Linked DNA regions of Mus musculus. The protein of the gene in region 1 purifies or fractionates together with the protein of each later gene. This does not show direct contact. Links are inferred from orthologs where the notes say so. Each region holds a gene or a part of one and is shown in the gene's direction. Other genes may lie near its edges.

Region 1 (4,025 bases):
CTACAGTATACTTATGTATAATAATATATAAATCTTTTTAAAAAAAAGAAAAAAATTAGTTTGGTTTGCAAAATGCTAAGATCTTTATTTTAGATGGTTCAGTACAACCTTAGTTTTTAGGGGCAGGGTGTGAAAAGAATATATTAGTCAGTTTTCTGTTTCAATAACAGTACTGTGGCTTGTAATATATCAAAAAGGAATTTTTTTTTAGCTCTTAGTTTTAGATTCTGACAGTTGAGGGTTATGTAGCATCATTTGTTTTCCATCTGTTGAGGAGGGTTCATCAGGTGTCATCATGGCAAGAGCATGTTTAATAGGGGTCACACTGACACAGGAAGCCAGGCGGTGTGGGTGGATAATCTTGTTTCTAACAACCACTCTTGGAAGAACTAACCAGTGTTCCCAGAGTGTCAACTTCATTTCTTCTCACTGACTCGCCACCTTCCATCCTCAGCTACTACTTAAAGAGCCTACCATGTCAGTGTCATCACCTTAAGGGCAAGCCTTCAGCAGAGAGACCCTGGGGACAAGCCACATCCAAACTGTGGCAGACTCTTTGTTTCCCCTTTGGTACAGCTGGGTGGAGCTGTACTAAAATTATGTCCCTATAACTTTGAATAAATATGCTTATGTTTATTATAATATAAATATACTAAATATATAAATAAATATAAGTATATTTATGAATATAAATATGTAATTTTTAAATTTTATCTAGGAAAAACCTACAACCACGTCAGTGCAGGATGAGTTCATGCACTTGCTGCTGTGGGGGAAAGCCAGGTGAGCGCACGTGGACGATCCCACCCTGACTCTTTCCCTTCTTCTCTTGACAGTAATTACTCAAAGGTAGTTATTGCCTTTATAAAGATAAAATACAAAATTCCGGTAGAAGACCTCGCCCCCAGAAATGTATGTCAGTTTTGGGGATTTTCTATGAACTTTTTATATACATGCGATCATTTGGTATGTATATATAAGTATGAATGTGCGTATGTATATTGGATGTATAAAATTCCAGAACTTTTATGTAGCCAAGACAATCTTTTTCTTCTGGCACCTTGGGTAAATAACTCTCCAGGGTACTAGTCAGTGATCCCTTCTTGATGTTTAGAAGTGTATAATTGGTTTATTTCTGGACTTTACTGTGACATTTCTGTCTCTTTGTGGATAAACACAGTCCAGTCCTCATTTGACCGGTGCTGTTTCTTCATGATTATTTTGTTCCAAAATCCTGTTTGTACTTTGAAATTTAGGTTTTAAATGGCACATTCAGAGTTTGAATGGAAAGATTACTAAAATACTTTCTTTTTTGTTGCAGTGCTGAACTTCAGACTCTCCTGATGAACCAGTTAACAGTGAAGGTGCTGTTAAAGTCTATATGTTTAAGTGGCTGTGAACACATTTTTAATAGTGGTCTTTTTTGGGAATGACATATAGTATCATAGTTACATGCTAAATGTATTTTCTTCTTTTAATTAGGGCTTAAAAAAGCTTGGCCAGTCTATAGAGTCATCATATTCCAGTATACAAAAACTGGTTATAAGTCACTTACAGAGGTATGGAAGTGATGTAGAATTTTTTGATACTGCATTCATACATACACGGCTTTGGTCATATTTCTGCTTCCTCTCTCCACTGTTTGACATTGTCTTTTCAAGCCTTTTCTAGCTATTTGCATTGGCATTTTAGGGAACTTGGCATACCCAAGATTGAAGTCGGTAATGACAATTGTTTTTGTGAAAATACTTTTCTAATTCTTTTAACCAGGCTGAACTTTTTGAGTATTTGGCCTTTTTTTCTTATTTAACTATAAAATAAGCCACATAGCTTCTAATATTGTACGTATTTTTTCATTTAATATCTTGGCAGTTTGTTCTTGTCATCTTGGTTTCACACAAGAGTTAGCTATGTGGCTGGCCCAGTGTTTCAGTACTAGGCCGAGGCTCGCTCCTGGGTTCTCCAGGTCTCCTGCTGTTTCTGTGCACAGTAACTTGAGTGAAGCAGTTTATAAGTGGCTGCTGACTGTTTGGTTTGTATTTTGACAACTCTTATGCTGGGTTTCTAGAAATACCCACAGTCCCCTGAGCTTGCTGAGTACCTTCTGCTTTGGTCTGTTCCATACTGTACCGTGTCTGTTTCTTTCCCTTTCTCCACTGAGTGTAATGTTACTTAAAAAACGTGCAGTACCTTTGCTTTTTTCAAAGCCTTGAGCATGTCTGCTTCTGCTTTACCCATGCTAGATACCTTTTGTTTTCCCAAGCTTGATATTGTATCTTCCACTCAAGGCTTTTTTTTTCTCTCCCCTACCCTATTTTTTTTTTTAAATATCTTTGATTTGTTTGTTCATTTATTAATAATGATGCTGGGAATGGAATGTAGAGTCTTGGGCAAGTTGCATAAACAAACTCTACTATTGAGTTACATCCCCAGTTCCACCCAAGGATTTACATAACCTTCCTTTCTTTTTGGAACACTCTCATCTTCTCTTTACCTGAGTTCTTTAGCTCTTTGCGTCTTCAGAGAAGCCTTCAGCAGTTCCTAGAATAGATCAGGGTCTTCTATTTCACCTGTGCATTTCCCTCAAGTCCCTTAGGGTGGGTAGTTAGGAAGATGTACTGCATGACTGGTTGTAACTAACTCCCTTATTACACTAAATGCTTCAAGGACCTTACCGTTATTTCCCACTATGTCCCCAGTCCCTGGTATCTGACATAAAGTCAGAGCTTAAAAATATATGTGAAGACAGGCTGGTGTCTTATGTCTTTATTCCCAGCACCCAGGACATAGAAGCAGGTGGATTTCTGTGAGCTAGAGGCCAGCCTGGTTTGCACAGTTCTAGGCCAGTCAGGACTAGATAGTAAGAGCCTGTCCTTTAAACAAAAGTGTCTATTAGTGAACAAATGTCCACATGGTAAAGTGCCAGGGTTAGGACTGGAGGTGCAGCTCAGTGGATAGAGAGCTTGACAAGCACTGCACGAAGTCTGACCGTGATAGAGAATCTAATCTGGTAGTCTTGTTTTCATCTCAGTTGTCATGATGCACAAATGATTCTTCGAAATAGCTTGGGTAAATCTTTTCTGTGGAAAGATTATTAAGATTTGTTTGGTTTTCTGAAATCAGCAAGTGATTGTTGACTACCACCTTGGTGATAGTAATGGTACTTATCTCTGCTCTTTTGCTAGTGGCTCTGAGTCTTTACTGTATCATTTGAGTGAACTTAAAGGAATGGCTTCATGGAAACAAAAATACGAACCTCTAGGACTGGATGCTGCAGGCATTGAAGGTATTGATTGAATTTCTCCATAGACTACACTAGATACAGTTCACTTACTCAACAAGTGACCCTTTTTTGTCTGTTTTTCTTTAGATGCTATTACTGCTGTGGGTTCTTTCATCCTCAAAGCAAACGAACTTCTCCAGTAAGTCATGTGCTAACCAGGAGTGTGGCTATGAGAATATTACTTTTTACTTAAATAAGAACCTGAATCTCTTAAGACAAATTTTTATCAGAATAAGTCAGTAGCACAGAGATCATTTAATGAAAAACTTTATTTTCTGGTCTCTCCATCTTCATCCTCATTCTAACTCCTGTGTCTCTTTCTGTTCACTTTCTTTATTCTCCTAAAAGCTAATTTTATTTCTTGTACCTACCAGTTTTGTTTTATTTATTTTTTGTCTTGATTTTCCTGAACACTGTTGGCCTTGTCTTATTGCGTTACGTTGTGGTGTTGTGTTGTGTTATGTTGTGTAAGGGACTCCCTTTGTACCCAGGCTGGCCTGAAACTTTGAGCCTTGCAAATGCTGCAGGCACAGTGTTCTGTGCTCCCCACCTCCCTCCCCTTAGACTCTCTTGTTGTCTGTACTGTCCGTCTCTAGCACACCTTTGCCTGGCTTGTCTTTCTGAAGGGTGCTGCTCCATCCGTCTAGCCATCCTCTGTCCCACAGGTTGTCCCTTTACCCTGCACCTGCTCCTTCTGTGCTTTGTGCTTCACTTCCCTGTCTCGCTGTGTACAAAGGCACTG
Region 2 (4,644 bases), on another chromosome or scaffold:
TGGGAGGTAAAGCCCCTAAAACATTCCCCCAAGTTTGTTTTCCCTGATCTCTAAAAATACAGCTGGAAAGAAGCTCTTTGTTCTCTATAGCCAGCAAAAAGCCATTTTGTTTCTATACCTTACAACCAGAGATGCGATAATTGTAATTTTACCAAGGACACCCGGCAGAGAAGAGCTGTAGCCCAACTCCTCCCAATTCCTCAATATCTACAATAAAAACCTCCTCAACCATATCTAGGAGTGGTCACGTCCTTGTTTTCATTCACCGACCAGTTTGTTCCCTATCGGTTTGGGTTTCTAAGTACGGCCTCTTCAGAAGGCAATCCCCATCTCCCTCATCCTAGGCTGGCAGTGGCAGAAGATATCATAGACTCAAGGAGAATGACAATGGCTTGGTTGCTCAGAACACAGTGGAGAGTGGGGTATCCTAGTCCAAGTGACTCCTGGTAGGGTTGATGGGGTTGTAGACAAACTGTGTGATGGGGCAAGAGGTAGAGGGTAGAGAATGGAAGCAGTGAGATTGACAGGCCACTTACGTGTGCTCCTTGTTGGGTTTTCTTCTGTTTGTTCTTCCAGATAGCCTAGTGTGTGATAGAAAGGCCTTTGTAGGATAGGGAGGTTTTGCGGGGAGGAATCAAGAGGTCGGAGCAGAGCATGTGGAATATGTGTTAATTTGACTGTTTTTGATTATCCAGGCAAGCGAATTTCAGCTAAGCAGGCATTCCGCTCACCAAGTTCTAAGAGCAAGCCTTCCTGTTGCAGTGCAGCTTCAAGCTCTGAAGGATGGCGTTCCAAGAAAAGGGATGAGAATGAACTAAAATAAATGTGTATCACAATAGACAATTACAGTGAAGTTATCAAATTCCAACAAACTGAATTTTGGAGCAAAGAAATGGACTGGAACTCTTTATTCTTTAGGCTATGATAGGCCTCACCATTTTTTTTTTTTTTTTTTTTTTTTTCTTAGCGATGACGAACAGTTAACGGACTAAAGCCCATCTTGGGTGGGGGTGTGTGATTTCCGGGTAGAGAATTTTCCATGCAATCCTGAGAAAATGAGTGGTCTCCCTTCCGCTCCCATTCATCAGCCAGGAGGCACACATCCCCTTTTGAGATGAGAAGGAAACTCAACCAGCTGGGAAAAAAAATTACCTAACTTAGCTCAATTGAGAAGGTAGTTCAGGATCTTAGAGATTTGGTTTGTTAAAGAGGTAACGTCGTTAAGTGACCGCCTTCGCTATAGGCACTTGCACAGACACCTTTTTCAACTGCGCAGGCGCTAGGTCCTCTCCGCTGCCGCGCGTCCCCAGCCTGGCTCTGCCCTGGCGCGAGGCAGGTCGGGAAATCCAAGATGGCTCCAGCCATTTGAGTTGTTCGCAAGTCTTTGGTGTCCCGCTGCCGCCCATTCTTCCTCCGGCATCCGGGAGGGAAAAGGGATGAGAAACTGGGGCGGTGAGGAGTCATCGTGACGGTCCTGTCGCTGCTCTCGGGCCTTCGCGGCCCTTGTGCCTCCGGGGAGCAGCCGGGGCTCGCAAGCGCCTGACGCGTCCCGAGTTATTCAGGTGCGGGCCGGGCCGGGTCGGGCCGGGCCGGGTCGCGCATCGCTGCGACTTGGTGTTGGAATTTCGCTGCACCGGGTGCCCCAAGGGCTGAGCGCCCCGGGGCTGGCCTTGAGCTCCTGCTGGGGTGAGAGGAACCCCAGTATCAGACTGGGCTTTCCGGGTTGGCCCGACGCGCCATGAGCCGATGCTCCGGCCGCTACGCCGTGGCGCGGTTCACTCAAAAGCACGGAAAGCCTGTTTTTGTAGAGACCCAGCTCAGGGTCCCGCTGTTTGCATATGTTCCTAGTAACCAGTAATGACAGTTTTATTTCTAGCATGTCAACTCAATGCTTTTATGTGGCCTGTAACGAATAACACGTTTAACAACTTTTGGAGAACTGTAAAAGTATTAAGTATGATGTCTTTGGGTTAAAAGGCATCTAACTGAGAAAATGATGCTATAAAAAGTTATCCTGTAGGTTCGTTTTAAGCTAAAAGGGAATGACATTGCATGTTTGCATGAGGAAACGTCGGGTAAAGTTGCAAGTTCTTTAATGTTGACTGCTTTGTTGAATAGAATTTGGAAAGGCCAGCCACATTTTGATAAGCCCCTACTTTTCATAAGGCATATGTGTTTTTCAAGTTCTGTTCTCAATATTGATTTTATTTCTAGGAGGTGAAAAAGAAACTTGGGCCTGTTTTTTGGCGTAATCATTTCAGGAATGACGTTTAAGTCACAGCAAGGAAGATTTTGTAGCTATAGAGGGCTTCGTATAAACTAGAGGCTTTCAGATTGTTAAAAAAAATGATGCCAACAAGACTTTAGATGAGAGCTTCAAGTCAAATTTAGTTAGCAGTTGTTATTCTTAAGTGCCATTTCAAACACTGAGGGTTATAGTGCTGCTAACAAATGCTGTTGTAGAGGTTTCCTCAGAGACAAAAAGGCACATACTATGCCACAGAATGTTTGAATGTTAGTTATCTTTACATGCCGTGTGTCGAAATGTCTGTGAGGTGGATCCCCATGTTTCTGACCTAGCTCCACTCGGGTCTCTGTAGTAATAACTTAGTTTTGACTAGAAGGCTGACAAGAATGCGTTTGGATTCACACAGAAATAATGTTCATATTTGGAACCCATGTCGAACTTCTCTGAAGAAAGGGCAACGATGATTGCAGCCGGGGATTTGCAGGAATTTGTTCCTTTTGGCCGAGACCACTGCAAGCACCACCCTAACGCTCTGAACCTTCAGCTTCGTCAGCTGCAGCCAGCCTCTGAGTTATGGTCTTCTGATGGTGCAGCTGGCTTGGTGGGATCTCTTCAGGAGGTTACAATCCATGAGAAACAGAAGGTTTTATTAAGATTCTCATCATACTTTTGAAATTTAGAATGAATACCGTGCTAATATAAAGCTGCCTATATGCATGTGAGAAATAAGTGTATGTTGGCACTTGGTTAAAAGCTAATGTTTGGTCATTTCAGTCAGTGCTGAAATATGGTGCTGCCTACATAGGCATGCTGTGTAACTTGTAATGAGAGTTGAGTACTTTAATCATGGCTCATTTTAAACTTTATCCTCACTTCAGATGTGGGTAATCAGGTTTTATACTCTTTGGTGACTAAATGCCAGAGGTTAGAAGTGGTACCTGCAACACATGTTTCTAGAAGAGGGTTGATGTCACATAAGGGTGTTAGCATAGTAGTACTTTCTATTTTGAGGTGGACCTTAGTCAGTAGCCCAGACTGACCGTGGAGGTTTAAGCTGCCCCTCTCTTCTGCTTTACCTAGTCTTTGTATTTGCCTTTGAAATTAAATCTCTTGGAATGTACATAGATAGATAGAAATCAGAAACTTTTTAGCTTCTATTCATCTTATGTGTGGGACAAGGGGAAGAAGATAAATAATATATTTGCAGCTGTGAAGCAAGGAAGTCCCCCCATTGAGTCCTATGTGCACCTGTCTATTTTATGCCTTCTACATACATTTAATACCTACTTTTAGTTTCCCTTCAAGCATGGGTTTTATCTTATACTCTATATGTAAGAGATACTTTTTGTGTGCCTGCGTTATTGGCAGAGCAATACTAGGAACATAGAAGTATAAAATAAAGTACTTCTTATAGAGAATTTTTGAGTCAGTTTTTAAAAAACCTGCCTGCTTGTATGTCTGTGCACCATGTGTGTGTAGTGGCCATGTGGGCCAGAAGAGGGCTCAGATCTCTTGGAACTGAAGTTATAGACAGTTGTGTAGGTGCTGAGAATCAAACCCCAGTCTTTAGAAGAGCAGCCAGTGCTCTTAACCACAGAGCCATCTCTCCTACCTCTCTTAACTTATCTCAAGAGTCCCGTGATGTAATGTGCCCACTTTGCTAATTCACTCATTGTGCTCACCTATGTATTGCAATCCTTGTAGGAGTTAGTCTTGGGTTGAGTCTTAATTTACAGGCAAATCTTGCTTCAAACTACTGAAAAAGAAGAAGTGCTGAGCATGTCCTGTGTGTTAATTTTTAAGGAAAGCTGGCAGTTAAGAAAAGGTGTGAGTGAGATTGGAGATGCAGCTGACTACGATGAAGAGCTCTATGTGGCTGGGAACATGGTTATCTGGAGCAAAGGGAGTAAAAGCCAGGCACTGGCAGTGTACAAAGCGTTCACAGTGGACAGCACTGTCCAGCAGGTGAGTTTACTGAGTTTGCACAGCAAACAACTGTTAATATAGCTGTTTGGAAAAGAAGTTTGAGTTTTAAAATGATAACAAATGACAACAACAGTGTAACAATTGTAGCAGCTGGTTGTACATTATGTCTGGCAGGAAAGTAAGATTTTCATTTTATCCATCATGACAGTGTCTCTGTAGCCCAGGCTGGACTGGTATTTGAGATCCCCCTGCCCCAGCCTCTGAATATGACAGGCACCTATCACCGTGTTTGGCTTATCACATTCTATATTTTTTGGTTATGAGCCTAGCCTTTAATTCCTGAGTCATCTTTCCAGAATCTTATCACATTCTTCACATTATTCTTTGCTTAGTTGTCTTAGTCAGGGTTTCTATTCCTGTGTAAACATCATGACCAAGAAGCAGGTTGGGGAGGAAAGGGTTTATTCAGC
Region 3 (3,362 bases), on another chromosome or scaffold:
TAAGCTGAGAATAGAGGAAAACATTGAAATAATTTTCCCAGGGCTGATACAGAACCAGTGAGATCCAAGACAATGGAAACTGGTCAGGAAGCAAGGATTCAAAATCTTGAGTCTTATGTGTGATTATAAAAGTTGGGGTTTTGTTTTGTTTTTTATTTCAGTTTTTGGGAGAACTGAGTTTGATAGATGCTGACCCGTACCTTAAGTACCTGCCTTCACTCATTGCTGGAGCTGCCTTCCACTTGGCTCTCTACACAGTCACAGGACAGAGCTGGGTGTGTATTACCAGTTGCCTTCTCCAGTATGGGTGCCGCTTTGATTTGGGCTGAAAGCTTAGCTGTAAAGGTGCACTGAAAGCTCTGCTTCAAGAATCTGAGCCTTCCACCTGCTGCAAGCAGGGGAAGTAAACAGCCAAAATAAAAGATGGAGTGAGTGAGCTGAAACAGGGGGGACACCCTGAGTGAAGAATTGAGGAGGGAGCAACATTTAGAAATAACAAAACATCCTGTCAATGATTAGTGCCAATATTTAGATCAACTGTGAGCTTGTGGTCAGTGCCCTGTGCTGTTACAAAAAACTCAATGGTTGTCCCTTCCCTAGCCTGAGTCATTGGCACAACAGACTGGATATACCCTGGAGAGTCTTAAGCCTTGTCTTGTGGACCTTCACCAGACCTACCTCAAAGCGCCACAACATGCCCAACAGTCAATACGGGAAAAGTACAAGCATTCAAAGTAAGAATCCAATTCTTGTTGAATACAGTAACCTGCCACTACCTCAGTTGGCTCTTAAGTCATGTATTAGGAAGCTTTTGTGCCTTTGCTTCTGGTAAGAGAAGGGTAAGGGGGCAGATGTATGTGCTCTACGTATCAAATGTTTTTAAATTCATAATCAAGTAAAAGTAGCATTTCTCCAGTCTTGGGGTACATGAATTGTTCTGTAATCTCCCCAATGAATGTTTACTAAAAGTTTTTTTTTTCTCTGCTCAACAGATATCACAGTGTTTCTCTTCTCAACCCACCAGAGACACTAAGTGTGTGAGTGAAAGACTGCCGGCTTTGTTTGAAACAGGAGTCGCTCGGAGTCCATGCTGTACAGTTTTTATGTCGGGTTTTAGTTTCACAATCACTTCTGAATGTAGATGGTATAGCCACAGACAAATTATGGTATCCATTGCTTTTAAAATGGTTTTAATTTGTATATCTTTTGTACATGTGTCTATTTGGATAATTTTAATTGGTTAACATTGGTGCTGCCAACTGTCAAGATATTGAGAATAAACTGATTTGGAAATCTTTGCAAGTCAAAGTTAATCTGAGATAAAAATATGAATGATGTCGTTTAGAAACTAACTTGATTTGTTTTATTGTACAGTGGGGAGTAGGAAAAGATTTTATAAAACTAAAATATTTCAGGGAAAAAGACCTTCAAATTCTGGCATTGATTGATTATTCTAAGCAACCAAACCAAACTGCTGACTTGTTCATAAATAACCAAAAGTAGACAAACTGTTTTCAATGTAGCAGAACTCATTCGGCTCTCAGATGTTACAGTAGTTTATGGAGACATTTTATTTATCAACTTTAACAAATAAGGTCTTACATGAGTTGGGAAGCTTGTGCAACAGAAAAGTTTTCCAGAAAGTTTATTCAAAGCATAATGTTAAAGACAAACAGTGTATCAAGAAGTTCAGCTTGTAAGATACCCAGAGCTGTTAGCACTGAGTATGTATACACACACACACACACAGAGATCCACCACTTTAGCTTAGTTAGCAGTTCTCTTCTTCTTCTTCCTTTTCCCTTGGCCTTTACTTGGTGCCTTCTGGTTTGCACTGGTCTGAGCTCTGTGAATGAAGTAATATAACAGCTCACTGTATCCCATCTGTCCTGGATTGGGTCACTGGGACTCTGAAAGGTGCCCCATTTTATAGAACCAGCTTTTAATGTATATTTGAAAGAGGCCAGAAATTTGTTACCTTATTTTCTTTGGGTTCTTCTCTGGCTCCAAAATAATCATTTCTTCTTCTTCACTATCTGATAGCACTATAGGGGCACCTTTGGAAAAGTCCAAAAAAGGAGTTTACTGCTTAAGCACATCAGAGGTCCTAACGCTCCCATCTCCAGGCTAAGGGAGCTCCCAAGCTCTACTGCCCGGAGGCTGACACTCTTTCCGAATCTTACCCTGTTCTAAGTAAGTAGCTCCTTGCAGCTCTGAAAATTTGTAAAAATTGATGTTTTCTATAAACTCTTTCTTTCCTTTTTCCCCAGAGGACATGTAGGCCAGAATGCTCTAATTCTTGCTACCAGGACTGCCCATGAAAAATGTAGAAAACTGCTTTGTTTGCCCATTTTTCTCTTGAACAGTAATTATATATGTGTGTAAATAAAGCATGCAAATTAACCCTTTACCCATTTGGTGGGCTGTGTGTTGTCTCATCTTTATTCACATGTTTTAGGAAAGCTCTACCTTCTTCACTGTCCTACTTATTTTAGGTCCACTTTCATTGCTCAGGGTTCTTAAAACCACAAACAAAAAGCCTCTATGAAAAGAGATATACAAGTGCAAAGATATACTAGCACCGTAATAGTGAGAAGATAAGAAAAAGCATTACTGATGATTAAACCAACTGGATGATTCTCTATGCAGCATTTAATAGTCCTAATTAATTAGGATCTTTAATTTACTCATTTATCTGGTTAAACCAACATTGTTCCCCTGCCAAAACAATACCACCAAAAGGCTGTAAGTAGCAATTCCCTTCTGTTAACAGTGCATACTGCTATGAGTTCAGGGAATAGCACTCACATGGGGGCAGCTCACAATTGCCTGCAACTCCAGATTTGATGCCTGACTCTAGCCTTCAAGGCACTCATTTCATACATAGGTAGCACACATTTAGTGACGTCTTTAAAAGCATGTACCTACAAAAGAACCAGAGTTTGGTTCCTGGCATCCATACTGAGCTGCTCACAACTTCCTGGGACTCCAGCAAGTTCCTCTGAACTCCCTATGCATGCCCTGGCATACTGGAGCACACACATATACATAAGACCTTTCTGGGGGCTTCTAAAGTTTCCCACATTCTAACATACCAATGTGGCCATACTAACTCAGATAAGCCACACTTAAAATGTTCAATAGTGGGCTGGTGAGATGGCTCAGAACTAACTGAGAAGAGTACTGACTGCTCTTCTGAAGGTCCTGAGTTCAAATCCCAGCAGCCACATGGTGGCTGACAACCACTCGTAATGAGATCTGATGCCCTCTTCTGGTGTGTCTAAAGTCAGTTACGTGTACTTAGGTATAATAAATTTAAAAAAAAAAATTGTTCAATAGGTGAAGCTGCTACCCTAGCCAAT
Region 4 (4,025 bases), about 70 Mb from region 1:
CTGACCTTGAACCCCTGATCCTCCTGCTCCTACCTTCAAGTTCTGAGATTATGGACTCCATCTATCCCATTTGACTTTTTTTTTTTTTTTTTTTTTTTTGGTTTTTCGAGACAGGGTTTCTCTGTGTAGCCCTGGGTGTCCTGGAACTCACTCTGTAGACCAGGCTGGCCTCAAACTCAGAAAACCACCTGCCTCTGCCCCCCCACCCCCCCACCCCCCCAGTGCTGGGATCAAAGGCGTGTGCCACCACGCCCGGCCCATTTGACTCTTTTGAATGATTTTGTTGTATGTACCTGTACACAGGTTCCTAAGTACACATACATAATAATACAGCTTATTTTTTAAGAAGGTACTATAGATTACCAAATGAAGTCACATTAGGGACTGACTGCGGGACTGACTGCTAATAGACTTGGAATTACTTTGGTTTTTATGTTTATGTGCCTGGTGCATTTGGAGGCCAGAAGAGGGCATCAGATTCCTTGGAGGTGTAAGCTGGAGTTACAAAGAGCTGTAAACTGCCCGATGTATGTGCTGGAATTTAGACTTGGATCCTCTGCAAAATTCCTGTGCTCTTAACTGCTGAGCCCCTCTAACTTCCCTTTTGAGAGAGGGTCATAACTCAGGCTGATGTTGGATTGATTATGTAGCCAAGCATAGCTTTTTCTTTTTTTTTTTAAAGATTTGTTATTTATTATATGTAAGTACACTGTAGCTGTCGTCAGACACCCCAGCAGAAGACATCAGATCTCATTACAGATGGTTGTGAGCCATCATGTGGTAGTTGGGAATTGAACTCAGGACCTCAGGAAGAGCAGTCAGAGCTCTTAACCTCTGAGCCATCTCTCCAGACCCCAAGGATAGCTTTCTGAATGCCTGGTCCTCCTACCTCTGCTTCCATATGCTAGGATTGCAGGAATATATGACCCTACCTGGTAGTGGTACCTAGTTGTTTGGTTTTTTAAAAAAATTGTCTCCCATTTTGTTTGTTTGAGACAGTGTCTATAGTCTTAACTGTTCTGGAACTGGCTACGTAGACCAAGTTGGCTTTGAACTCAAAGATCTTCCTGCTTCTGTCTCCCAAATCTCAGTGAATTAAAGATCTACACCACCACATATGGCTTCCCCTGTGTTTAAAATACTTGGGCCAGGCATGATGGCACACGCCTTTAATCCCAGCACTCAGAAGGCAGAGGCAGGTGGATCTCCGAGTTTGAGGCCAGCCTGGTCTATAGAGTGAGTTCCAGGACAGCCAGAGCTATACAGTAAGACCCTGACTCCAAACAAACAAACAAAGAAACAAGCAAAAAGCCCAAACAAAATAATAATAGCATGAAATAAGTACCTTTTTATAGACTTCCTTGTCTCAGTCTGTTCTTTACCTTTCAGAGGAAAATATATACCATTACTTAATTTGGGAAGGAGTGGGACTGGAGGTATAAACACAAGAGTGGTAACCAGGGTTGCCGATAAGCTGTGGGTGGACTGCTTACCTAACATGCAGAGACCTTGGCTTGGTACCCCATGCAGGACGGAAATAAAGCAGTGTCTCGGCATTAACCTTGCTTATAAGGACTATTGCATCTTTTTGAGGTTAGAGGTTGAAGTTCTGTGATAGGCTTGCCTAGCCTTTGTGAGGCTTTGGGCTCCATCGCGCACACACACACACACACACACACACACAGAGAGAGATAGAGAGAGAGCGCAGAGGACTGTTTGAAGCATGGGATTCCCACACAGTGACTTTAGACACCTGAGAGTCCAGGTGACAGTGTGCTTCTAGTGCTGGCAAGCTTGCTTTGTGTCTGTAGAATTGAACGAGCCTTTAGGGCCTGGGGAGATGAAATGGCGCCATAGTTAAGAGTGTTTGCTGCTCTTGAGGGGACTTGAATTTCTTAGCATGCATGTCAAGTTCCTAGGGGGGTGTGTGTCCAACCTTCTCTTCTGGGCAGCAGCGTGCACCTGTGCACATACGCATATAAATCACAGTAATGACTCTAAGATAGACTAATCCGTTATCACTCTGCCATTCTGGCTTTCCAATTGTGTTCTCTTACTGGCTTTTTTCTTTGGTATTTGAAGTTTGCAGGAGCCTGTTTTGTTGAGTTTCTCAATGAAATAATTCAGAGTGGTAAATTTTCTTTCTAGAGTCTCTAGCTTTTTTGTAATTATTGCTATCCTTTGGCAATATTATCCATAAAATTTGATGTTAACCTAAGATAATAGAGGTGTATGTAAAACAGTACTAAATTAAGAGGTCTTATTGAGTAGGCATAGCGGTCCATTCTGTGACCCATCACTTCCAAGGCAGAAGCAGGAAGATTGCTGTAAGTTCAGGGCTACCTGGACTACAGGTGAGCTGCTGTCTCAAAAAGCCAGAAAAGATGGAAGGATGTAAAAATGGGAAGGAAAGCCTGTGTTCTCCATTTGTTCATTGTATTGATTTATAGGTATCATTAGCTTCTGTAGTAAGAAAACACACATTGTACAAAACCACAATACAGTAAGATAGTGTTTTAGATGTTTTGGCCATATTTGCATGGTGTTCAAATGCTGTGCCTCTCATTAAGCCACTTAAATTTAAGGAATATTTTTTTTTCTTTTTGGTTTTTCGAGACAGGGTTTCTCTGGAACTCACTTTGTAGACCAGGCTGGCCTTGAACTCAGAAATCCGCCTGCCTCTGCCTCCTCAGTGCTGGGATTAAAGGTGTGCACCACCACGCCCGGCTGTATTCATGTTTTTTTGCAAGCTGGCGTGATAGAAGGTTTTTGTGGTAGGCTTAGGTACACCAAGGTGCTCTTTCTAATTTTCAAAATAACCCATGTAGGACTTGTTTCCTTTATGTTCTAGTGAGCTGTTTTCCCCGTCGCAGAAGTACCAGCTCTTGGTGTATCATGCAGACTCTCTGTTTCACGATAAGGAGTACCGCAATGCTGTGAGTAAGTACGCCATGGCTTTACAGCAGAAGAAAGCCTTAAGTAAGACTTCCAAAGTGCGGCCTTCCACTGGGAATTCTGCATCTACTCCACAGAGTCAGGTGAGTAAGAGCAGACTCAGTCACTCAGTCAGTCACTCAGTCAGTCATTTATTGTGTTTTTGGGGGGCAGAGTTTCTCTATGTAGCTTTGGCTGTCTTGGAAGTAGACCAGGCTAGCCTCAAATTCAGAGAGCCACGTGAAAGGGTGGCCACCACCGTCTGACGTGCCTGTGACTGTCTATGTGTATATATTTATTGATTTATTTATTTGGGTTTTTTTTTTATTTATTTACTTGTTAAAGGAAATGTACGTTATTTGTTTTATATATTTAAGTACACTGTCACTATCTTCGGACACACCAGAAGAGGGCATCAAATCCCATTCCAGATGGTTGTGAGCCACCATGTGGTTGCTGGGAATTGAACTCAGAACCTCTGGAAGAGCAGCCAGTGCTCTCAACTGCTGAGCCATCTCCAGCGCGTATACGTATATGTATATGTATGTATGCACATACTAAGAGACAAGATTGAAGTACTTGTTTCAGCACTGAGCTGGTTGGTTATAGAATGAAACAGTTCTATATTCTTTGTTATTATCACATGATATTCCATGGTTCCCGAGTGCTGCTTTTCTTTCATCTTTGTATTAATGAATACTGGGGTTCTCCTGTCCCTCACAGCTGATGCTGCTGGGGTGCTTTGTGTCCTGGTTAGGTGAGCTTGGTCTCTCCAACTCATAGAGATCCCCCTGCCTTTTCCTCCTGAGTGCTACAATTAAACATGTGTGCCACCACTGCCGGGTTTTATTCTCATTTCTTTTTTTTTCTTTCTTTTTTTTTTTTGTTTTTTTGAGACAGGTTGTCTCTGTGTAGCCCTGGCTGTCCTGGAACTCACTCTGTAGACCAGGCTGGCCTTGAACTCAGAGATCTACCTGCCTCTGCCTCCCAAGTGCTGGGATTAAAGTCATGCACCACCACGCCTGGATAGCCCTGGCTGTCCTGGAGCTCACTTTGTAGACCAGGCTGGCCTCGAACTCAGAAATCCGCCT
Region 5 (3,912 bases), on another chromosome or scaffold:
TTTTTTTTTTTTTTGGTATTTCGAGACAGGGTTTCTCTGTATAGCCCTGACTGTCCTGGAACTCACTTTGTAGACCAGGCTGGCCTTGAACTCAGAAATCTGCCTGCCTCTGCCTCCCGAGTGCTAGAATTAAAGGCGTGCTCCGCCTCGCCCAGCTGTGAGGGATTTCTGAGTTCCTCATAGCCTGTCAGGGATTGTGTAGATAAGATACTTTCAGCATACTGCCTTTGGGAAAACCCCATGAGATTAGGCCTTCGTGTTTGTGGTTATACCTGAACCTCTCACAATATAATATATGTGGGCCATGTAATCACTGGCTTAAACGTACAGGAGATGATCCTAGACTCATTCCTAATTTAGATGAAGCTCTACTGTACTTCCCCTATTGCCGTGAACTTTGTAAACTAAAGATTGCAAGCACTCTACATCAGAAATGCCTATCATGCTAAGCATGTGCTTCTGGAAGGTACTGTAATGAAGAGCAGTTTGTTTCTGAAGTCTTCAATCTATAGGAAGTCGTTAGCTTATAAAAACATTTGTATGTAATTTATTTTACCTGATTCAATCAGGAATCCGGTATTTAGATGTTACCTTTAAAAAAAAAAGTCAAAATTTAGGCTGGAGAAATGGCTCAGTGGTTGGGAGCACTGGCTACTTTTCTAGAGGACCCAGGTTCAGTTTCCAGCAGCCACATGGCAGCCCACAACTCTGTTTAACTCCAGTTTCAGGGGATCCCCGGCAACAGGTATGCATGTGGTGCACATAAATGTGCATGTGGGCAAAATACCAAAGTTCTACCAAGTTAATTTGTTGGAATCCATTTTCCTTTATGTTAAAGACTTACTGAAAATATGCTTACTGAGAGTGGTTGGGAAACTTACCATGCACAGAAGGACCAGATACTAAGATCAGCCTTAAAGAATGATGGGAAGGACAGATACAGTAACCCAAGAATATCTTTAGCCATTAATCTTTAGTCTCCTAATGTATTGCATCTGTGTTGTTGGAAGCATTTTGTTCAGAGAGAGTTACCAACGTGTTTTAATTAACTTAATGAAACCTAGAAGGAGTTATTTCTTTGATTTTTTTTTTTTTTTTTTTTTTTTTTTTTTATAGTGTTCGTAGAGAAAAGTCCCAGAAAGCCATACAGGATGAAATTCGCTCAGTGATTAGACAGATTACAGCTACTGTGACATTTCTGCCACTGTTGGAAGTTTCTTGTAAGTATTGTACAACTTAACTTAAATTTGCTGGAGAAAATGTTCATTACCGTTAGGAGGAGCCTACATTTGTTAAATCTCTTAATTTATCATTGCCTTGTAACATAAATGGGATATGGGAAGCAGAATACAGCACAAATAAAAACATGCATATCTGAAAACTGTGGAGACAAGGACTGGGGGGATGGCTCAGTGGTTAAATACTTGCTGAGCAACTGTAAGGACCTGAGTTAGGATTCCCATCACCAGGATCCTCCAGATGGTTGTGATGGCTCACCTATAACTCCAGCCAGAGAGGCAGGAATAGGCTCATCAGAGCAATCTGGCTCCCAGAACTATCCACGTTGGCCAGCTCTCGGTCTGCTTCGTCAATAAAGTGAAAGCACAGCTGTTAATTTGGAGACTCCGCCTGTGTGTTCATACATACACACTCAAGAAAATGAAGAAAAACATGAAAACCCTAAAAAACAGAAGTATACAACAATACTTTTGAAATTTTTCTCACAGTTTTACTACTTTTATTTTCTACTAGGAAGTATAATGCTCCGTTCTACACCCAGTTTCTATCAAGTAAAAGATTCATTAGACCAGGCTAAGCTACCTTTCTAGCAAGAGGTGGTTCAAAGTGAGGCCCAGTGAGAGAGAGGCAGGGAGGAGACTTCACTATTGAACAGCTTTCCTTTACTCCCATTCCCAACGTAGGTTCCTTTGATCTGCTGATTTACACTGACAAAGACTTGGTGGTACCTGAAAAGTGGGAAGAATCGGGACCGCAATTTATTACCAATTGTGAAGAAGTCCGTCTACGCTCATTTACAACCACAATCCATAAAGTGAATAGTATGGTGGCCTACAAAACCCCTGTCAATGACTGACGAGACGGTGAGGAAAAGGATGGAATTGTCATTCCCAAGTGTGCTTTTCCAGAAATTAAGTCAAATAGAGTTGCTACATTTCCTTGTTTAATTTTCCGGTGAAGAAAGCTAAGATCCGACATTGATAAATGTGTGTTATTGTTCCATTTCTTGGGTTCTTCCTGGACTTGTCTGAGTCGACAAGAGTGCTGCACATTGTTAAGGGGAATCAACAGATTTTGTTAGCATTGTGGAATGAATTCCTTTAAAAATGGTCATTGTACATAGAAAAACTTCTGTTAAAACGCTAACTACTTCCCTTAACATTGTAACTGGACCAGGATATAAAGAAGCGTTTAAATGTAAACACAGCAGAAGGGATCAAAGCTTTTTTAGTTCTGAGGGTCAGTCAGGAATGTTGCCAATCCGGATCCAGTGAGAGAGGCAGGGAGGACAGCTTTACTATTCAAAAGTTCTGTACTTTACTCTCATTCCCAACTTAGGTTCGTTTGGTCTGCTGATTTACACTGACAAAGATTTGGTGGTGCCTGAAACGAGGGAAGAATCAGGACCCCAGTTTATTACCAGTTCTGAAGAAATCCGTCTACACTGATTTACAACCACAAGCCACAAAGGGAATAGTATTGTGGCCTACAAAACCCCATCAATGAAGAGACGGTACACATACCATCCCCCATCACATTATACCTTCTGCTGTATTTATATTTAGATGCTTCTTTATATCTTGGTCAAGATTCTTCTGAGCAAAATCATTAGACAAAGTATTTAGCTTTTTAAAAGAAGTTTTTCTACCTACAGTGACCATTGTTAAAGGAATCCATCCCACAGTGAATCTGTTGGCTCCCTTAATAACGTGTAGCACTCTTGCTGATTCTGTGGTAAGTTCAGGAAGAACCCACGAAATGCAGCAGTAAGACACATTTCTCTTTATATAGACCCCATATTGAAATACATGCTAATTATTTGATTTTGTTGTATATATCTTGAGCTCACAAAGCAGTTGATGCTGTTTAATTTCTGTAATAAAGAACTCTTATTTTAATGTTTTATAAAAATCAAGCTTTAAAAGTCAGTGATACAAAAAAATTAAGCCTTGTGTTTTAAATTTGTGTTACAGTATCTTTGATATTTAGTTTGGTGCTAATATAGTCAGATACTTCAGTGGATTGAGTGGATGGATTGTGTTCATTTTGATTATGTGATGGGGATGGTTTTGTGCACTGGAAATTCAGATGCTGATTGCTGTGCTCAGAGATCTTGTTGTAATCTGGATATTGGCAGTTGCAGTCCTTGTTATAATAGTAGGCCAGGCCAGCATAGCCGGGTCAGAACACATGAGAACACTGCCCAGTTAGCACAAGAAGCTTGTAATAAAAATACCATGTCTGTATCATTTATTTGGGAACAAGGGTGGTACAGAAAAGCCTCCAAAATTACTTTTACATTTTGTAGGGCTTTATTAACCAATCAGACATGGTGGAAACCAATCTTTACACATTGAGCTAGGTGATGCTTCAAATACCATGACAATGCCAACTTCCAGACTGCAACCAGATCTCAGCATAGCACACAGTCCACAAGACCATCCCCAAACAACTACGTACCACCTTTTTCATCACAACAGTACAGTTAATGTGAAGACGCAAATGCCCTCTGAAATTAGTTCAAATATTAGGCTGTGTTGTCAGCCTTGTGTTTCTTATGATCTTGAGCACCATGCTTAATCCTTTGCATCATTGCTACTCTTAATAGATGTGTTGGTTCTAATTTTCCAACATTTAGATTTTTCCAGAAAAGTGACAGCTTTGTTTATAGTA
Region 6 (4,740 bases), on another chromosome or scaffold:
TGTGTTTTTAAAGAAACCAACATTGTCACTACATCTAGTTAACAATTTTTTTCTGATGCACATTTATTTGGTGTGCAAGGCAGCAGAGAACTGCTACAGTGTGCACATGCAGGTCACAAGACAACTTGTGAGAGGCAGCTTTCTCTTTCTACCATGTGGGTCCAGGGATTGAAGTTGGGTCCTTGGTTTGTTAGCAAGTGCCTCTACCCACTGAACTATCTCACTGTCCGTTATTTTTATTTTTAAAATTTGCACCTGTTTTTGTGAGAGACAGGGGCTTATACATTTCAGGCTGGCATTGAGCTTGCTACATAGCCCAGTCTAATCTTGAACTTCACATCCTCTTGTCTCAGGTCCCTGAGTGCTACAATTTTAATAAGCAGAGCTTGCTAACGTTTGAAAACGTTTGAAGCTGAAGCTGACCTCTTGGGCCATACAATCAGATTTGATAGGAAGCACATACGGAACCTCTTGAACAGTTCTATCTCATCACTCTTCACCAGAGCCAAGAACAGGAGGAAAACCAGGCAGATTATCATGCTAGTTACAGAAGAAACAGCGTAGACAAAGAATGTACAGGCCTGGGGAGATACCTTAGGGGTTAAAGTGCTTGTTGTAAAAGAAGCCAGGATTGGTGTTTGGGTCCTCAGAACCCACATGATTGCTGGATGGTTATGGCAACCAGCCTGTAATTTCTGTAAAGACAGAGAATTCTCAGAGAACCTGGATAGTCAGACCAGCGATAGCAGGGACTTGTGGTATTGAATAAGAATAAGATAGAAGAGCAATTGAGGAAAATTCCCAGCATCACTCTTGGGCCTACACATACATACACATGCATACACACACACACACACACACACACACACACACACACGATGTTCAAACACACATATACATAAGATAAAATTTTAAATAGATAAAAAAGAGGCCAGCGTGGTGTTACACAGCTTTAATACCAACAGGAAGACTTCGAAGCCAACCTGGTCTAGATAGTGAATTTCAGGCCAGTTAGGAATACGCAATGAAACCTTGTCTCAAAAAAGAAAAGTAAATATTATGAATATGATGTAGTTCCATGACAGAGGCTTGTCTAGCATGTTCAAGGTATCCTCTCAGAAAGAAAAGAATGGATGCCGGGCAGTGCTGGCGAATGCCTTTCATCCCAGCATTTGGGAGGCAGAGAGGCAGAGGCAGAGGCAGAGGCAGAGGCAGAGGCAGAGGCAGAGGCAGGTGGATTTCTGAGTTCCCTGTCTCGAGAAACCAAAATTAAAAAAGAAGAAAAGAGGGGCTGGTGAGATGGTTCAGCGCTTAAAAGCATTGACTTCTCTTCCAAAAGTCCCGAGTTCAAATCCCAGCAACATGGTGGCTCACAACCATCCGTAACGAGATTTGATGCCCTCTTCTGGTGCGTCTGAAAAACAATTACAGTGTACTTACATATAATAAATAGATCTTGGAGGAGTTGGAGGAGGAGGAGGAGGAGGAGGAGGAGGAGGAGGAGGAGGAGGAGAAGGGTTCAAACAGAAAACCGAGTCTGAGAGAACAGAAGGGAAGAAACAGATGTTTCTTGGAACGCAGCAGCACACACGGCATCCACACAAGCGAACATTTCTGGAAACCATACTATTTCGAGGAGATTAACACGCAAACACCGCCGAGTGGCAGGAGGGCGGGACTAGTCGAACGCAGGCGAGGGGCTAGCCTGGAGAAACCCTGCCGCTGGAGATTCAAGGAGGAGCTGACAGGTAGGCGGGGCAAGCGAGGGTCCTCCCCCAACTAGTACGTAACTAAAGTACATCAACATCACTTCCGGCTCGGTGTTGAAGCGGGAAACAAAAGGAGACGCAAGACGCATGCGTTAGTGAGTCCCGGATTCTGGTGGGTTCTTCCGCTCAGACCTGGGGAAACGCTTCCGGGTCGCCGCCGGCTGCCGGCTCTTGGCGCGGTAAGTGCGGAAACGAGACTGCTGCCGTTTCCTTGCTTGTTCTTTCTTCCGGCTTCCAGAGAAACCCAGTTCCTTTGACTCGCTTCCCTAGCAGTTCATTTTCCCCATTTTTACTCTTAAAGACATCCTGCTCACTGGCCGTTTCCTAGAGTCTAAGCCCCACCCATCGCACATGGTCCGTCATGCATTGGTTTCACTTCCTGTCACCCAGCATTTCTTGCAGTTAATTGGCTTCGGCCAGGCCGCGCGCATTTTGCGATTAGCATCCCTATAAGGTCAAAATCCTGACGGAGACCCGCCCCTGCCTCCTTCCTGTTGGTCAATCTCGCAGTCATTATCATAATGAGCAAAGAATGGGCGGTGGTGGGTAGAATTTTAGTATATAAAATCTGTCAGTGCTTTCGGGATCGTGGTGGACGCGCCTTTTTTTTTTTCCCCCATCACACGGACCTGGGGGGGCTTTGGTCTAGGGAATGACAGCGTCTAGTTCTGCGTGGGTCAAATTAAGTTGGAACAAAAGCTAGAGTAGGGCCGGGTGTGGGGGCTGGTATACGCCTTTAATCCCAGCATCCGGGGGCTGAGGCATGCGGAGCTCTGTGAGTTTGGGACTAGCCTGGTCTATATAGAGAATTCCACGACAGTCAGGGCTAAATATTGTAACCCTGTTTCATTTACTAAAAATAGGGGGAAACACCAAGGTAGACACCAACTCTATTTTTTCCTGTGCCCTTCCTACAGTGCTGGGCCAGGATCCCTGCCTTGCGTAGGATTTAAGCCCCCATCGAGTGTGTGGCCAAAGTCAAGCTCTACATGTCACTGGGTTTGTGAGCCAGGGCGTTTTAGTTCAGCTTCTTGGTGACCTTCCTGGTCAGCAGCTTCAGCCCACAGAGTTGATTTTGTTCTCTTCCATGTTAGTTCATTCTTCATTTGTTTGTTATTTACTCATCCCTCTGAGAATTTCTTTTATCCTTGGTTGTGTGTACTGCAGTTTGACTGGTTGGTGAGAGAGGTGGTTCATGTCCACACCATTTTGCACTGGTTGGATGTGACATGAATCAAAAGAGCAAAAAATAAGTTTTGTGGTGCGTGTGTGTGTGTGTATTTAAAATGAATTTTACTAGATCTCTGCTATTGCTAATCTTGTGCATAATCACAATGCCACATTCCATCTCTGGCTCCCAGTCTCTTCTCTCTTTAAGCAACATACAGCTTTACTCATTATTTTCTTTGTTTGTCGTAATAACTGAGGATGATATAATTTTAATTATCCCCATTCTTACAGATGAGGAAACTGAGGCCCAGAGAGGTTAAGTGTATTGGCCAAAATCAAAGAGCTAGTAAGTGATGGAGCCAGGACTCAAACTCAGGTCTGTCTGATTTCAAGAGGGCAGGGCAGCTTCTCTGCTACCCACCCAATCCACCCTATCCCTAAATCAAATTTCAACTGCATCAAAACAAAACAAAACATATTCACGTGACCCTTTCCCTCAGCTTAGGAGCCATGTCCACCTTGTTCCCGTCACTCTTCCCTCGTGTGACTGAGACACTGTGGTTTAATCTGGACCGACCCTGTGTGGAGGAGACAGAGCTGCAGCAGCAGGAGCAGCAGCATCAGGCCTGGGTGAGTGAGGACCCAGTGCAGCATGGAGGTCTACCACCGGGCCGTGAGCTTGCCTTACGCTGGAGACCTGCTTAGAAAAAGGTTCCTCTGTGGGGAATAGTCAAGCTGAGTTTTGGGGGATAAAGTTCTTATTTTGTGGCACCCTAACTCGCTGAGGGACCATAGGATTTCGGGGGTAGATTAGATAGATGTCAAGCCCCTGACAGCCTAGGATCTTTTCTATACATCACAGAACTTAATAATTTCACTTTCACCAGAATTATATGAAAAAAAAAAACAGAGGCCCAAAGACTTTCCATATGTCTATCAATTTTATAAGGAACAGATGACAGGAGAGAGATTGCATCTTCCTGAGAACTGGGGGGAGAAGCTTTGTTTCAACATTTGGGGTCTCTTCAGGGGTAGGGGAAGCCAGTCCAATGCCCCTGACCTGCCCTGCTTGTGCCTTGGCCCTACTTTCCCCCCTACTCCTTTGCCCACAGCTCCAAAGCATCGCAGAGAAAGACAACAACCTGGTACCAATTGGCAAGCCGGCCTCAGAGGTGAGTGGTTCCTGTGGGTGGGGCCTATGTGAAGCCCAGTAGAACAAGGCTTTACTTTAATGGCCTTACTTTTGGCTCAGTACAATTGTGGTTTTCAATCTGGGAAGACAGAAAACGTGGGAACCTGAGGGGCTATGCATTGTGCCTAGTACTAAGGACCTTCAGGTCATGCAGCAGCCTGCCAGACTCAAGGCAGGCAAGGTTGGGAAGGTGGAAGCTCCAAGTTGGCCAGCTCTTGACCTGGTCCAGGCGCCCTGAGGCCTACAGAATCTTTCTGCTCTACCAGCACTACGATGATGAGGAAGAAGAGGATGATGAAGATGATGAGGACAGTGAAGAGGATTCCGAAGATGATGAGGACATGCAAGACATGGATGAGATGAATGACTATAATGAGTCACCTGATGATGGAGAGGTCAATGAGGTAGGCGGGGTGTAGGGGAGTGCCTTTGTTCCTAGGCTCCTGCCCCTGATCTAATTGATGGCCAAGGCATACAGAAACCCTGGCTGTACCCAGGGGCAGGATCTGGGCTGAGGCTGGCTGAGGCTCCTCCCCACCCACACCCAGCCTCCTCTTCAGGTGGACATGGAAGGCAACGAACAGGATCAGGACCAGTGGATGATCTAGG
Region 7 (4,025 bases), on another chromosome or scaffold:
TCAGAAGAGCAATTGGTGCTCTTACCCACTGAGCCATCTCTCCAGCCTGTTTCAAGTGATTTTTAAACATGATTTACTCTAAAACCTAAGTGACATTATAAGACTACCTAAGGCTGGAGGGTAGGGAAAGCTGACCCTACTGGGCCAGAATGAAGTGCGGTCACTCAGGCTTTATAAACTTGCCAATCGCTGTTTCTTTCCTCTAGTGAAGAGAGACTTCTACTGGAGGGAATGGCCGCCTCCTCGTCTTCGTCTTCAGCTGGTGGGGTCAGTGGAAGCTCTGTCACCGGATCTGGTTTCAGTGTGTCCGACCTTGCCCCACCTCGGAAAGCTCTGTTCACCTACCCGAAAGGAGCTGGAGAGATGTTAGAAGGTGATGTCTCTCATGCTGGGTTTCCTTCAGACCTTCAGTTCATGTAGAGTGTAAAGGACCTGGGGCTGGGGGGGGGGGGCTCAGATAGCTCCAAGCCAAAGCCCTTGAGTGACCTGACCAGGGTTGCCACTGGCACCACGTACCCTCTTGGTCTCCTGCAGGTTGCCTCATAACACCTGCTTGATGTATTTTCTCTTTTAGTAAGTATCTACAGATAGACTAATCCCACCAGAGAGGCCTAAAGGGGAAATAAAAGTCAATGTATTTACCTCTGTGAAGGTGACTCTCATGGACCACTGCCGGACATGGCTGTGTGACGGCATGGTTTTTATAGCACTGGAGATAGACTTGGTCTTATCACACAGACTGGCTGGCCAGAACTAGGTCACGGGCAGCAGCCATGAAATGGCATTAGTGACTGGAACGTCTCGGATTCATGTAAACTAGACTGGTAATTCATTGTAGGAGCGTAAGACTCATGTGACACATTTAACTTAAAATGAACATGTCTTGCTGGGCAGATGTATCTCTGAATTCCAAGCCAGCCTCATCTTCATAGTGAGTTCCAGCCAACTAGGGATGTACAATGAGACTCTCTTTTAAGAAAAGAAAAGAAAAAAAAAATTAAATGCACATGTCTGGGCCACTCTACAGATCCTGAATTAGCCTAGGACAGGAAACTGGTTTTTGACCAGTATCTGAGGCCTTCTCATGAAGGAGTCTTCTCATATTTTCAAAATACTGACAAAGAGCCAGGCGTGGTGGCACATTCCTTTAATCCCAGCACTTGGGAGGCAGAGGCAGGCAGATTTCTGAGTTCGAGGCCAGCCTGGTCTACAGAGTGAGTTCTAGAACAGCTAGGGCTATAAAGAGAAACCCTGTCTCAAAAAAACAAAAAAGAAAAAATACTGACAAGGAACCCATTAAGGACTCAAAATTTGCCGGGCGGTGGTGGCGCACGCCTTTAATCCCAGCACTTGGGGGGCAGAGGCAGGCGGATTTCTGAGTTTGAGGCCAGTCTGGTCTACAAAGTGAGTTCCAGGACAGCCAGGACTATACAGAGAAACCCTGTCTTGAAAGAAAAAAAAAAAAAAAAGAAAGAAAAAAGACTCAAAATTCACTGGAGTCAAGCATTTTTGTATTGAATTATAAGATGCTCTTTTTTGCTTTAAATCTTGCATATTTACATGCATATATTTTAAATTAATTGGGTGATATCTCTGAGAAAGGCACAAACTATTCAGGGACTGGCTTTCTAGGGAGATCATTATACATTTATATCAGGTACTTTTAAAAACCCAGTTTCAGGTTAAACTATGCCAAAGCAGTGTTGGGGATTGGATACCCAGTGGCCTCATGCATGGTAGGCAAGCAGGCACTCTTTGACCCGGCTGCATGCCTGGGAGACTCTAGTGCCATAAGGCTCTGGGGTCACTTGCATCTAATTGGTAGAGCAGCCACAGGTGCCGTGTGGTGTGGAAGGCGGTGTGTCAGGCATGTGTACTTTCTGCTTTGCCTTTTTGTTGGTCTCCGTTTGTGTGGATATTCAAGTTGGTATCATCAAGTCTGACTGGAAGTAGAATCTTTGTGTCTGTATTTGGCACTAAAAGTGGATTACAACTGTAGCTCTCTGCAGCAGCGATGTAGTTAAGGAGGCCAGCCACAAAACAAATGGCAAGTTGAAGGCATTTAAATTGCTTAACGAGCTTTATAGAACAGAGAAGAATCCGTGCTTAACACTGCTTCAAGAAAAAAGTGATTCAAGTCCGTCAGAAGCTCATGGTCTAACAGGCCTCTATCTAGACGTTCTCATTACCTCACTGAGGAGTCAATTGGATTCTATCGTATGGTGGATTTACCACGTGTAAATTCATGGTGTAGTTATGGCCTCTCTTAACCAGTTTCCCCAGTAATCTTAAAAGCTGCTTACAATGAAAGACAACTGACTTCGACAAAGCAAGTATCTGACATACTTTTGAATATCAAGAATACAGAAAAGGGGCTGTCTGGTAAAATACAGAAAAGATGGCTCTGCTGGCAAAAGGTACCTGGCACCATGCCTGACCGCCTAAGTATGACTTGTGGCTTTGATGGTGGGAGAAGAGGACTGACTCCCAAAAGTTGTCCTCTGACCTTCCCATGAGGACCCATACATAAGTAATAAATGCCTAGTTAAGAAAATGAAAACACGGGGCTGGTGAGATGGCTCAACAGATAAGAGCACCCGACTGTTCTTCTGAAGGTCCTGAGTTCAATTCCCAGCAACCACATGGTGGCTCACAACCATCCCTAACAAGATCTGGCGCCCTCTTCTGGAGTGTCTGAAGACAGCTACAGTGTACTTACATATAATAAATAAATAAATCTTTAAAAAAAAAAAAAAAAAAAAAAAAAAAAGAAAATGAAAACACCACCATTACCCTCACAGTATCTGCTGGGGCTTGGCTCTGCTTCAGCCTCCTCTCCTACACCACCTCCGACTTCCACACCTGTGCCTCATCTCCATGGATACTGAAGTCAACAGGTGCTCAGTCTCTTCTGTGAAGTGGCATGGTATTTGCATATGAGTTGTGTGTGTCCTTCCATGAAGCACTCCTAAATGTGAGTTGACAGGAATGTCAGATCTCGGGGTGACCCTGTTATAGGTTAATATGCCTGCATCAAAGCCTTTTCTTCTTCGTTGTTGAATTCATTTCGTTTTGAGTCTTGTGTAGTCCAGGCTTGACCTCTGACTCCTTGAGCTTCTTATTCTCCTCCTCCTGCCTCCCAAGTGCTGAGACTACAGACATAGATTATTTATTACTCTGTCTGCTTTATTCCGAGTTGGGGTCCAAGCCCAATGGTGCCAACTGAGCTACATCCCCAGCCCTGTTTTTTTTTTTTTTTTTTTACATTAGTGTAATGGAAGAGGAAAATAGAAACAGAGCACGCTGATGGAAAGCAAGAAACCCCAGTGCTCAGAAGGCTGAGATGGGAGAACTGTTCTGAGTGTGATGATAGCCTGAACTATCTAGAGACTGCCATGCCAGCCTGGGCACAGAGTGAGACTTTATTTTAAAAGGCAGGGGGAGGAGGGCAGGGGCAGCAGAGAGCAAAAGCATTTAAGAATCAAGGTTAGTGGGGCTGAAGAGATGGTTCAGTGGTTAAGCACACTGGCTGCTCTTCCAAAGGTCCTGAGTTCAATTCCCAGCAACATGGTGGCTCACAACCACCTGTAATGGAATCCGATGCCCTCTTCTGGTGTGCATGAAAACAGCACTTGCATATATAAAATAAAGAAATCCTTTAAAAAAAAAAACAAAGGAAGGAAGAAAGAGTCAAGGTTGGGTGTGGGTCATAATCCTAACAGGTTCAACTTGATGTTTGTTGCCTGCCCCTAAATCTAGGATATAAATCCAAACAACCTATGTTTAACCTCTGGGATGAACTTCTTGTTACATCTGCTGTCTGCTAAGAGCAGCATGCAGCAAGATTTAACAGTGTCCTGCCCTCTGCTAGCATTGCTCTCACCCAGCTATTAGTGAGCAAATTAGAGGCTGCCTTCCAGCCCACAAGTGGCTGTATCTTAGGGACCTCACAGGCCACTGCTTCATATAAATCACCTGGGGTTGTCTCATTGCCTACTAGGGAGTAATAGCTTTTAAATGAAATG

Evidence for each region.
Region 2: the proteins of Anapc4 (region 1) and Anapc1 purify together in Homo sapiens (co-purification; 13 studies listed by BioGRID and IntAct, with this or other methods). This does not show direct contact. The link is inferred for Mus musculus from reciprocal best matches to the Homo sapiens genes ANAPC4 and ANAPC1.
Region 3: the proteins of Anapc4 (region 1) and Ccna2 purify together in Homo sapiens (affinity purification with western blotting; 3 studies listed by BioGRID). This does not show direct contact. The link is inferred for Mus musculus from reciprocal best matches to the Homo sapiens genes ANAPC4 and CCNA2.
Region 4: the proteins of Anapc4 (region 1) and Anapc7 purify together in Homo sapiens (affinity purification with western blotting; 14 studies listed by BioGRID and IntAct, with this or other methods). This does not show direct contact. The link is inferred for Mus musculus from reciprocal best matches to the Homo sapiens genes ANAPC4 and ANAPC7.
Region 5: the proteins of Anapc4 (region 1) and Mad2l1 purify together in Homo sapiens (affinity purification with western blotting; 14 studies listed by BioGRID and IntAct, with this or other methods). This does not show direct contact. The link is inferred for Mus musculus from reciprocal best matches to the Homo sapiens genes ANAPC4 and MAD2L1.
Region 6: the proteins of Anapc4 (region 1) and Anapc15 purify together in Homo sapiens (affinity purification with mass spectrometry; 10 studies listed by BioGRID and IntAct, with this or other methods). This does not show direct contact. The link is inferred for Mus musculus from reciprocal best matches to the Homo sapiens genes ANAPC4 and ANAPC15.
Region 7: the proteins of Anapc4 (region 1) and Anapc16 purify together in Homo sapiens (co-immunoprecipitation; 10 studies listed by BioGRID and IntAct, with this or other methods). This does not show direct contact. The link is inferred for Mus musculus from reciprocal best matches to the Homo sapiens genes ANAPC4 and ANAPC16.

What each region holds. Positions count from the first base shown.
Region 1 is NC_000071.6:52,847,273-52,851,297, forward strand, and holds part of Anapc4 (anaphase-promoting complex subunit 4), read left to right. Parts: intron 1-718; coding exon 719-783; intron 784-1,321; coding exon 1,322-1,364; intron 1,365-1,482; coding exon 1,483-1,559; intron 1,560-3,185; coding exon 3,186-3,286; intron 3,287-3,370; coding exon 3,371-3,422; intron 3,423-4,025. UniProt on the Homo sapiens protein: Component of the anaphase promoting complex/cyclosome (APC/C), a cell cycle-regulated E3 ubiquitin ligase that controls progression through mitosis and the G1 phase of the cell cycle.
Region 2 is NC_000068.7:128,684,071-128,688,714, reverse strand, and holds the start of Anapc1 (anaphase-promoting complex subunit 1), read left to right. Parts: upstream 1-1,319; 5' UTR 1,320-1,562; intron 1,563-2,654; 5' UTR 2,655-2,678; coding exon 2,679-2,891; intron 2,892-4,051; coding exon 4,052-4,213; intron 4,214-4,644. UniProt on the Homo sapiens protein: Component of the anaphase promoting complex/cyclosome (APC/C), a cell cycle-regulated E3 ubiquitin ligase that controls progression through mitosis and the G1 phase of the cell cycle.
Region 3 is NC_000069.6:36,563,913-36,567,274, reverse strand, and holds the end of Ccna2 (cyclin-A2), read left to right. Parts: intron 1-161; coding exon 162-275; intron 276-600; coding exon 601-734; intron 735-992; coding exon 993-1,041; 3' UTR 1,042-1,767; coding exon of another isoform or gene 1,768-1,846; 3' UTR 1,847-1,978; coding exon of another isoform or gene 1,979-2,057; 3' UTR 2,058-2,410; downstream 2,411-3,362. Other genes in the region: Exosc9 (exosome complex component RRP45), read right to left, coding at 1,768-1,846, 1,979-2,057. UniProt on the Homo sapiens protein: Cyclin which controls both the G1/S and the G2/M transition phases of the cell cycle. Functions through the formation of specific serine/threonine protein kinase holoenzyme complexes with the cyclin-dependent protein kinases CDK1 or CDK2.
Region 4 is NC_000071.6:122,425,280-122,429,304, forward strand, and holds part of Anapc7 (anaphase-promoting complex subunit 7), read left to right. Parts: intron 1-2,851; coding exon 2,852-3,038; intron 3,039-4,025. UniProt on the Homo sapiens protein: Component of the anaphase promoting complex/cyclosome (APC/C), a cell cycle-regulated E3 ubiquitin ligase that controls progression through mitosis and the G1 phase of the cell cycle.
Region 5 is NC_000072.6:66,537,849-66,541,760, forward strand, and holds the end of Mad2l1 (mitotic spindle assembly checkpoint protein MAD2A), read left to right. Parts: intron 1-1,116; coding exon 1,117-1,220; intron 1,221-1,922; coding exon 1,923-2,095; 3' UTR 2,096-2,102; exon of another isoform or gene 2,103-2,577; 3' UTR 2,578-3,259; downstream 3,260-3,912. UniProt on the Homo sapiens protein: Component of the spindle-assembly checkpoint that prevents the onset of anaphase until all chromosomes are properly aligned at the metaphase plate.
Region 6 is NC_000073.6:101,894,503-101,899,242, forward strand, and holds the start of Anapc15 (anaphase-promoting complex subunit 15), read left to right. Parts: upstream 1-1,828; 5' UTR 1,829-1,948; intron 1,949-1,959; exon of another isoform or gene 1,960-2,858; intron 2,859-3,230; coding exon of another isoform or gene 3,231-3,285; 5' UTR 3,286-3,292; coding exon 3,293-3,315; intron 3,316-3,439; coding exon 3,440-3,569; intron 3,570-4,051; coding exon 4,052-4,111; intron 4,112-4,397; coding exon 4,398-4,535; intron 4,536-4,691; coding exon 4,692-4,739; 3' UTR 4,740-4,740. UniProt on the Homo sapiens protein: Component of the anaphase promoting complex/cyclosome (APC/C), a cell cycle-regulated E3 ubiquitin ligase that controls progression through mitosis and the G1 phase of the cell cycle.
Region 7 is NC_000076.6:59,992,796-59,996,820, reverse strand, and holds part of Anapc16 (anaphase-promoting complex subunit 16), read left to right. Parts: intron 1-206; coding exon of another isoform or gene 207-231; coding exon 232-373; intron 374-4,025. UniProt on the Homo sapiens protein: Component of the anaphase promoting complex/cyclosome (APC/C), a cell cycle-regulated E3 ubiquitin ligase that controls progression through mitosis and the G1 phase of the cell cycle.